Danio rerio: one gene and its partners. The protein of the gene in region 1 interacts with the protein of each later gene in a biochemical or structural test. Links are inferred from orthologs where the notes say so. Each region holds a gene or a part of one and is shown on either strand. Other genes may lie near its edges.

What was found.
Region 2: the proteins of supt5h (region 1) and ccnt1 form a complex in vitro, tested with the Homo sapiens proteins (2 studies listed by BioGRID, with this or other methods). The link is inferred for Danio rerio from reciprocal best matches to the Homo sapiens genes SUPT5H and CCNT1.
Region 3: of the proteins of supt5h (region 1) and cdk7, one has a biochemical effect on the other in vitro, tested with the Homo sapiens proteins (2 studies listed by BioGRID, with this or other methods). The link is inferred for Danio rerio from reciprocal best matches to the Homo sapiens genes SUPT5H and CDK7.

Annotation. Positions count from the first base shown.
Region 1 is NC_133190.1:22,861,961-22,865,621, forward strand, and holds part of supt5h (transcription elongation factor SPT5), read left to right. Parts: intron 1-720; coding exon 721-857; intron 858-1,019; coding exon 1,020-1,175; intron 1,176-1,266; coding exon 1,267-1,413; intron 1,414-2,641; coding exon 2,642-2,788; intron 2,789-2,884; coding exon 2,885-3,010; intron 3,011-3,096; coding exon 3,097-3,181; intron 3,182-3,661. UniProt on the Homo sapiens protein: Component of the DRB sensitivity-inducing factor complex (DSIF complex), which regulates mRNA processing and transcription elongation by RNA polymerase II.
Region 2 is NC_133198.1:38,766,801-38,769,576, forward strand, and holds the end of ccnt1 (cyclin-T1), read left to right. Parts: coding exon 1-679; 3' UTR 680-2,181; downstream 2,182-2,776. UniProt on the Homo sapiens protein: Regulatory subunit of the cyclin-dependent kinase pair (CDK9/cyclin-T1) complex, also called positive transcription elongation factor B (P-TEFb), which facilitates the transition from abortive to productive elongation by phosphorylating the CTD (C-terminal domain) of the large subunit of RNA polymerase II (RNA Pol II).
Region 3 is NC_133180.1:56,109,899-56,113,559, forward strand, and holds part of cdk7 (cyclin-dependent kinase 7), read right to left. Parts: intron 2,998-3,661; coding exon 2,848-2,997; intron 2,748-2,847; coding exon 2,603-2,747; exon of another isoform or gene 2,133-2,602; intron 2,085-2,132; exon of another isoform or gene 2,024-2,084; intron 798-2,023; exon of another isoform or gene 1-797. UniProt on the Homo sapiens protein: Serine/threonine kinase involved in cell cycle control and in RNA polymerase II-mediated RNA transcription. Cyclin-dependent kinases (CDKs) are activated by the binding to a cyclin and mediate the progression through the cell cycle.

The sequences.
Region 1 (3,661 bases):
TAAGTCTGAAATTTCATTCATAATGGTCTTAAAAATGTCTTAATTTAAGACTGAAACCTGCAGAAACCCTGCAAATATATTTACATTTATACCCTAGAAACAACACCCACACAGAATGTTTAATGCTACATTCAAGTCATATAAATATTTATGTGTTGAAAGTACATGAATGATGGTGTGTCTGTGAGAATACATGTCCAGTGCAATGGATGCAGTGTCTGTTTTGACAGTAAATTATAATGTAGTTGGTCTTTTACACTACAACCCTATATGTGGCATCTATAAAATTGTGTACAGTAATGATTGCAAATATAAACGTTAAATTTTTAATATCAAATCACCACAACAGTTCTTCCTATTTTTAACACTCTTTATTTCTTCTATTTGTAACTCCCGCAATAACAGACAGGGGTCTTTATATACCCTCAAAAAGCCCACACTAGCACACACATTCTCCTTACACATGCGCAGGTCATAAAACATAACAAATAACATCACCTTAAATATTTTATAAACATAAAAAGGAACATTTTGTATTTTTAGTAAAACTACTAAGACATTTTTTAGAGAAGGTACTTTACTGCTTGAAAACATCAGATGTCACAATTAACTCATAAATACAATCTTCCCAGGATTATTTGAAATTTGAACACCATCCAACTATTTATTGAGCAATCTTTGTGAATTAAACAGCTATCTTTCTTTTTTTTTTTTTGGCAGGTAAGGAGCGAGAACACAATCTCCAGGCGGGAGATAATGTGGAGGTGTGTGAAGGGGAGTTGATCAACCTTCAGGGCAAAATCTTGAGTGTGGATGGCAACAAAATCACCATCATGCCCAAGCACGAGGACCTCAAGGTGAAGAAATCGGCACAAGCTGCAGTGTGAATGAAAAGTCAATCATGTTCACCTGATCCTATTAACCTACCGTGAAATGTGTTTAAACATCCTGAAAATCTCATTCTGCATAATGAATCCTTTTTACACTGATTATCTACTTACTGTCCTGACTTCTTTTAGGATCCTCTTGAGTTTCCAGCTCATGAGTTGCGGAAGTATTTTCGTATGGGTGACCATGTGAAGGTCATCGCGGGGCGTTATGAAGGGGATACAGGCCTCATAGTTCGCGTGGAGGAGAACTTTGTCATTCTGTTCTCTGATCTCACCATGCACGAGGTAGGTTTCACTATTAAACTATGGAAAACCACATACAGAAAAAACAACATTGTTTTTTTTTTTTGTCTGAAATGTTGTGCTTCTGTTGCAGTTGAAAGTTTTGCCCCGGGACCTGCAGCTGTGCTCTGAGACGGCTTCAGGTGTGGATGCTGGAGGCCAGCATGAGTGGGGGGAGCTGGTACAGTTAGACCCTCAAACTGTAGGTGTCATTGTCAGGCTGGAGAGAGAGACCTTTCAGGTAAACGCCCCGTGAAAGTGACCTGTTTAAAAGTACATCTAATAGTATGCACTTGCTGGGTGTCTTTTTTTTTTTTTTTTTTTACTACAATATCACTTTTTTTTCCCTCTATAGTCCTTTTAAGGTTAGTCAGGTTACTTTGAGCCTGCCCTAGAAGTGCCCCAGGGCTGTATTTTAGTCACATTGTCGCTTTGTATTGTTTTATACAATTTGTATTGCGGGTACATGTCAAATCTTCAAATCCATCTGTGAACAATATCATGAATAAGGGCTTGACAAACAAAGGTCTGTTGTATGAAGTTTCAACATGAACTAATGATTTTAGAGTTCAACCCATTCTGTTTGCCTTCAAGAATAATTTCTGCCTCCAATACCTATTTTTTATATTTTGATAAATAACTAAATACAGTGTACAAAATCACTGCTGTTTTGTTGTGTATATTCACCTACATTTATTTGATCCGAAAAACAGTCATGTAAAATATTAAACAATTTAAAGTATATATTTTATTATTTGTTAATAGAATTTAATCCTTCTTAGGACTGCTGAAAAGTCATGTTTGGTTACAGCACTTATTGAAAATCTGGTAGCTCTTTACAATGAGGTTACATTTAGTTAAAAAAGCATTTTTCTCAGGCTACTATGTGTAAGTTGGGTAATTTTTTATGTCAATTAATGTTATTTTTATTGCCTTTAATGTGAAATTAATGAACACAAATATAGGAGTCATTTGTTCATTTGAAAGAACGTTTCTGTTGGCACTTAGAGGTTTTTGCATCTGAACCCTTCATATACAACAGATTACAGTATTTATTTATTCTTTGTTTATGTTAAGAAAAATAAAGTTGTTAGCTGTTAGTTCCTTAACTTAATGCAATAACTAAAAAATTATCTTAACAAGCAAAACTTGGGATTATAATAATGTATTAATAATTATTGAACTATAATTAAGATAGGCTGTATATGTGTTATTCATTCTTAACTTAATAAAACTATCCAGTTTATACTGATCTCAGACTTTTGAATATTAATGTATTTAAATAAGCAGAATAAACTATAAAAACATTCAGTATAGACTACAAACTTTTTATTTAAATTTTTTTTAAACAATAAAAAAAAGTTGTTCATGTCATTGATTGAAACATAGGACTTTTTTACTGCAGTTTTCAGTTGGTTGATATTTTCTACTAACTCAGATTTTTTTCCCCCCACAATGACTTGTTTTAGGTTCTGAACATGCATGGGAAAGTTTTAACAGTACGGCACCAGGCAGTGAACAGGCGGAAGGACAACCGGTTTGCTGTTGCTCTCGACTCTGAGCAAAACAACATCCATGTTAAGGATATTGTGAAAGTCATTGATGGACCTCATTCGGTAATTAATTGGATCCTGCGTCTGACAGTTATTGCAAAACAAAACTGCATTGGGTTAACATTAAGTTTCCTCTGTGTGATTTTTCTTTTTTTTTAGGGCCGTGAAGGTGAAATTCGCCACATCTTCAGAGGCTTTGCTTTTCTTCACTGCAAGAAGCTGGTTGAAAACGGAGGCATGTTTGTTTGTAAAGCACGTCACCTTGTACTGGCAGGTGGCTCTAAGGTATGTCTGTCTTGTTATAACGTTGGACCTAAATGCTTTTCATAACTTTCATTAAGTCATTAAACAGTCCTCCTCTGTTTTCAAAGCCCAGAGATGTGACCAATTTTACAGTGGGTGGCTTTGCTCCCATGAGCCCACGCATCAGCAGCCCAATGCACCCTGGAGGAGGTGGTAAGAGTCTTTATGTAATTAAGAGTTGTGAAACAGTGTTGGAAGATCTGGCTTTGGGGAAGATTAAGTCCTGCAGAAGTATTTTAAGTATTTAAACACACAAATAAATGATAACTATTACTGATGTTTTATTTTTCCCTTAACGATTCCTTTAGATATTGTCCAAATTAAGTTCTTAGCAATGCATGTTAAAAAATAGAAATTAGGTTTTGGTTTGCTTACAGTCAGAAATTTGCTAAATGGAATGTACTGCTTACTTGTACAATATATTGCTGTCTGTTCTTACAAATATACCTGTGCAATTTAAGATTTGAATTTTGAGGTCTAGGGTCAGATATTATGTAGATTTGTATTAAAGGAGTAATGGCATTCAATCATTGTTGTGCTATTACACTACAGCATTTTTATTTCTTTTGAAAGTTTTTAGGCTACTGTTTTTCATGTGATTATCATAGAAACTGGTTACTTTTTCACATGGTA
Region 2 (2,776 bases), on another chromosome or scaffold:
AGACCAGGACATCAAAGTGCGCATTCGGGTTCCAGACAGGCGAGGCGGATCTGGAGAAGACGGGAAAAGTCGCGAAAAACACAGAGAGCGATCCAACCACCACCACCATCATCACCACCACCACCACCACTCTTCCTCCTCCAGCGCCGGTTCCCTCTCAGCATCGTCTTCCTCATCCTCAGCACAAAAACACTCAGCCGGCTCTTCAGGAAGTAGCAAAAAGCTCTCAGGTGATTCAGTGCGGACGAGCTCTTCATCAATGTCGCGAAAACGAACCCACATGCCAGACCCTTCCTCCTCCAGCACCCACTCGTCCTCAAAAGTCAGCAAATCGTCCAGAAACTCATTTCAGTTGCCCACGCTCCCTGGAGTGCCGTCTCATGTGATGCCCGACATCCTTCCCTCGCTGCACCATCAGGGAAACTATTCGCACTCCAAGACGGACAAAGCGGATACAAACGGTCACAACGCGGCCGGACAGTCGAACGAGTACCAGGACACGTTTGACATGTTGAACTCGCTGCTCAGTGCGCAGGGCGTCCAGCCGGCACAACCTCAGATATTTGACTACCGCTCTCAGTACGGAGAGTTTCGCTATAGCAGTGGCGCTCGCGGAGGAGCACAGCCGCCACCTTTACCCTCAGAACCACCTCCACCTCTGCCCCCATTGCCCAAATAAAGCGCCCCTCGCATCATCCGTCCACACACGCTGATCAAATCAGTGCTTTCGGGAGTCCTGTGTGCATCTAACTTTAGTGTGATGTCGCGTTTGACAGCAGAGTAATGTAAGGCAAAAAAAGCCCTAATGTTGTCTTGCGTCTTTGTGTGTGTGTGCGTGCGCAAGCGAGTACGTTCACAACACCCCATCTGTGGCAATAATGTTAAAGTAGAACAAAATATTGCAAAAAAAAAAGGCAAAAATGTTATTTATTGAAACGAGAAAAAAAATAATTGTACATACTACTATTTTTTGATGTCGTTCACTTTTATATCCGCGCTAACAGAAAAGCATAATGGAATTAAGGGTAATGTATTACTGAATGAGAGGGACTCGCGGTCCTCTTTAAAAAAAAAAAAGTGTAACCTTGAATGCAAAAATGGAAAATGTTCGCTAACAATATATATGTGTCTTTTTTATGGAGTATGGTATTTATTATTAGCCTTTTAAATCCATAGTTATTAGCAGTCGTTGCTTGAATGCGTCTCCAGACGAGATCTGGATTTATTTTTATACTGTTGTAAGTAAACCTGCTTCCCAGTCTGTATTTACTTGATGTGTGTCATGAGAAATGGACACGCACACAAACACAAATCACCAATATTCGCATCATAATGTGTTCCTAAATTCACGAATAGTTTCATTTTTGTTTTGTTTGGTAAATATTTTTGCTTTCAACTTCTATTAATGGTGAAAATTGACGACTATTTAAAAGAAAAAAACCTAAAAAAAAAAAAAAAATTAAGCAAGTCGTTTTTTGGAAGGTATGTTCACTAGACTTACAGTTCTAGCCTCCGAGGCAGATGCAGTCATTGTTTTAAATGGTTGTAGAATATCACACTCATTTATAATACACTATACACAGCAGTATGTTGTACACTCTACATCCTTTTATTTATTTCAGTTCAGTTTTTTCATGTATAGACAGTTTTATCCTAATGTAACTGACCTATAAATGGCCCTCAGACTTAAATGAATCTGTGATGGACAGAAATGATTGAAAGTACAAGAAGTGTGACGAATATTGGTTTATTTACAAATCACATCCATTCTTTCTGTATTTATGAATGATTCATATTGAACTTGATACTTTAGTTCAGCGTACCTATATTTTATAGCATAGGTCTTAAACTTGATGCCTGGAGGGCCACAGCTCCAGTTTTGCTCCAACACTAATCAAACACAGCTGATCCAAATAATCGAGGTGTTCAAAAGAGTCATGGACACCTTGATTAGTTGGATTAAGTGTTTGATCAGGGTTGGAGCAAAACTGCTCAGCTGTAGCTCTCCTGCCATCGAATGTGAGACCTTTGTTTTATGGGGATACTTCATCCGACAATTAATATTGTCATCATTTAGTTAAAAGTTTTAATCATTAGGCTTTGATGGTTATTGGATCCCAGCATTCTTCAGAAATCTGTTTTGGATGAAATATCGTCTTAAATATAATGTCTGAAATGGTCTTTTAGGTTCATGTTTGTTATATGCCTGCATTTAAACCCTCAACTTGACACTTGTAGAGCCATTAGGGAGCATGCTGACCAGTCATGTTTGTTAGTCTGGTTTCACCCTTTTATTTCTGTTTTTGTTTGTTTTCTAAACACAAACCCAAATGCTATCTCATCTGTGTCTATTTTTGGCATTTTATAATGTAACTGACTTGTAAATGGCCTTTCAGACCCCGTAGATGGACAAAAATGTAATCTGATGAAACGTGTTTCCACCAGTCTTTAGTGGAACTGGTGTGTTTTGTCAGTGATTTATTTATTTGTTTTTTGATTAACGCAGAATAACACGACAGTAAAACATATTTTGTACCTATGAGGGTCTTAAACTAAATTCCTGGAGGGCCAGAATTTTTTTTGCTCCGACCCATTTCAAACAGCTGATACAAATAATCAAGGTGTTCAAGAGTAGTCTTAAACACTTTGATTAATTGGCTCAACTGTGTTTGATAGGGTTGGAGCAAAACGGTGCAGAGATGCGGCCCTCCAGGAATTGAGTTTGAGACCAAAGTTTTACAGGGATTATTCACCCAAAAAAATTAATATTACCAGC
Region 3 (3,661 bases), on another chromosome or scaffold:
GGCCAACTGCATTTGGATTTCATTAGAAATACAAAAAAAAAAAAAAAAAAACATTGTGTGATACAAAATAGGGTATATGCACAGTTAGTGTTATTCAACCAATAACAAACTTCTGGTTAGAGCTTTATGCGGCTATTTTCAAATTTTTAAGGTTCCTTTTACAGCATGGATGTTGTAATATAATTCAAATATAATCAGTTAGGCGCCTCACAGCAAGAAGGTCACTGGTTTAAGCCTCGGCTGGGTCAGTTGGCGTTGCTGTGTGGAGTTTGCATGTTCTTTCCGTGTTTGCGTGGGTTTCCTTCGGGTTTCCCCCACAATCCAAAGACATGCGGTACAAGTGAATTGGGAAGGCTAAATTATCCATAGTGTATGAGTGTAAATGAATGTGTATGGATGTTTCTCAGAGATGGGTTGCAGCTGTAAGGGCATCCGCTGCGTGAAAACATGTAATGGATAAGTTGGCGGTTCATTCTGCTGTGGCGACCCCAGATTAATAAAGGAACTCAGCCGAAAAGAAAATGAATGAATCTAATCAGTTAAATAGACTTTAGCATCCATGTGGTTGTTAAAGTGTATAAAGAGACAAATGGCTGTTTAAACACAGGTGCTGTCATTGGCAGCAGGCTAGCACAGAAATTCCATTGAAAATACTGGGGTAAAATTAATTTCCATATTTTAATGACATGGTGTAGAAAAATATGATTTAATGCAGTGCTTCCTGTTTGGTCTGATACCCACTTAATATCCTATCTCAGCCAGGCAGTGAAGATCGCTGCTTTTTAATGAAATTACATCTTAAAGGGCCATGAAACCCCCTCGTTTCAGCAGGGTGTTTTCACACCTCTACTTTGGAAAAAGTCAGAAAAGTGGGCGTGTCCAGCTCTGTTTAGGGGGGAGTGTTGGAGGAAGAAAAGTGGGATGGTGTGGGAGTGTCTATTTGGGCACGCGCGAGTTTCAGAGTCAAAATACTCACACATACATACAGGAGAAAGTGATAGTGTGTAACCTACATGGACATCTGTAGTCGAATTATTTGCCAAATTATTAAATGGTGGACTTTAACTGCAGTTTGGCTCTTTCATTCAGGGAATTCATTCATGCCCCTCGAGACAAACGAGATATTTGATTCGAGGAACTGCTCTAAGCATGTATTTTTCGTGCAATGTTTGATACCGCACGGCGAATGAGAGAAAAAAAACCTCTGCATTTCCCGGAAACTTAGATGCACATGGCAGGTAGCGTCAGAAAGCCGCGTGTGTAATGCGGTGAAAACCCTACACGCGGTTAAAGTTTGGTTGTAGTGCTAACATGTTTACACTCTGTGCAATAGTTTGTTCGATACGAACAAACTGAATAAACAAAGAGCGCTGGTCGCTCACTTACCAAATCTGTAGAGACAGGACAATCACCAGCAAATAGAGCCGCGTCTTTATGAAGAGAATACTACAAGCGAATCCGGATCTCAGCGTTTGCAGATGAGAACAGCTCTCAGGTAAACAATGTTCCTCCTTAGACACGCAAGTTATTGTTGTCGAGCGTCGCCTACACTGTAATCCACACATGAGTCTGAGCTCTCACAGAGAGAAAATGAAAACGAAACTTAACTGCAGCAAACTTTAAAAGCTACACTTCACGCTTGTTTGCCCACACAACGTGGCGTCTCTGTCGTCTAAACACTGTGACAGTAATGAATATTAATGAAGTTGCACAATAGAGCGCGCTTATTGGTTTGAACCAAGCCTTACTCATGCATTAATGCATCACACTGTAAGACGTAATAAGACACACTCTGGCACAGATGTCCAGTCTGCACGCTGGAATACAACGCTATTATGTCATGACCGTAACGCAGCTTCAATAATTCCTTTCAAACCGGAAGTACGAATTTGCTTGAAATAACGCAAAAACAACCAATTTACACTTTTTAGTGAAATATATGTGTCCTAATAGTGTTTTTAGCAGTGTGGGACACATATACGACCGTTAACAGCTCAAAAAATGTGTTGTAGTGTTTCGTGACCCTTTAAACGCTGTGATTTTGCAAGGGATGACAATTAACCGGAAGCCCTGCAGCTGGCGGACTAAATTTTAAAAATCTGTGTGCAGATACCCCGTTAAATGTACAACACTTTTAAATTTCATCTATATGTTATCAGGATCATATTTTTATATAATTTTTTTGCCCCCCAAAAATGTTCATGTAGCTTTGCATTATTTCAGTTTAACACTTCAAGTCTCATGGAATGTTTTTGTATCCTTTTCTGGATTTTGAACATCTCTGGAGTGTTGTGGTCTATGAACCCTAAAACATTTTCATTTATCTTCTGATGGTGAACGAAGGTCTCAGGGGATTTTTCATACTTCAGTGAATGAAATGCTTCAATACCTGGGGTAAAAGGGACCTCATAATGGTAGTTTGCTTTATTGATTCTGTTATTTTGCTGTTTTTCCTGTGGAACTGTTTATGAAACAATATGTATTGTCTAAAGATAATTAAAATAACTTGACTTGGAATACTATATAACATAAACAACACTGCTAAAACTAATTATCATATTTTATCATCATATATTCTCTTATTTATAAAGTGTTTCTTTACCCTGTTCAATACTGTCACGTTTCCTCTTGATTCCTATCAGCAGGTTTTCTTTCTCTTTCAGGGCTTCTGTTGAGGAGTTTGGTCTGGGTAGTTGAGGGCCTGGGGTTGGTCCTGGTCTATTGCTGAAATACTTCATTTTCAAAGCCTGGAATGAGAATATTTATTCACTCAGATGCTCATTCAAAAGCAGATTAGTTTTTAAAGGTGGAATTAGAAGTTAGTTAACTGCGGCTGGTCAAAGTTACCTGCATAGCTGTGGTGCGTGAGCAGGGGTTATAGGTGAATAACCCCCTCAGAAGCTCCAGCAGGTCATCGCCGGCAGCACTGAAGATGTGCTCCAGTGGAGTGCCAGGAAATGGCTTAAATGACACATAGTCTGGGAGACTCGACATCCCCTAAAACCACAATCACAATAAATTAATGACTTCATATAGAAATTTAGATTTTGGTAAGCCAAAAAAAAAAAACAAAAAAAAAAAAAACAGTGGTCCCAGTCAGCAGACTGCAAGAAAGAGGCGTAACAAGAAGAATAAATTGTAGCAGGGGCATAACTTAAAATGATCAAGATCCCATTGAACCATGCAGGATGTCAAAAATGGCAGTAAAGATATTTTTCACAATCATTTTCAACAGTTTTCTAAAATATTCATTTTGTATATGATTAAATTTATTCATTTAGCAATAGTCACTCTGTGTTGCCAATTTTTGTTGCATATAATAGTACAACACCAAGCAATGAGCCAAGGCTTCAAGATGTCTTCGTTGCAAAGGACAATCTTAGAGGACAATACTGGTAAATCAGATACATTACATAATTAACATTGTACAAATGCTATGTGAGGGGTAGATTTAGGGGTGGATTAGGTGTGGATGTTGCAAAGTAACGGGCAATTTAATAAACACAAACATCTCTCATTTCTAGAAACAACAGCGTGCATGTGTGTTACAACGTCTATAGTGTACTGGAGCAGATACAGTACATCATTGTACTACACGGTCGATTAAGTACAGCATCTCCTTTTGACCTCTTGTGTGGTTCAATGGGATCTCGACAACTTC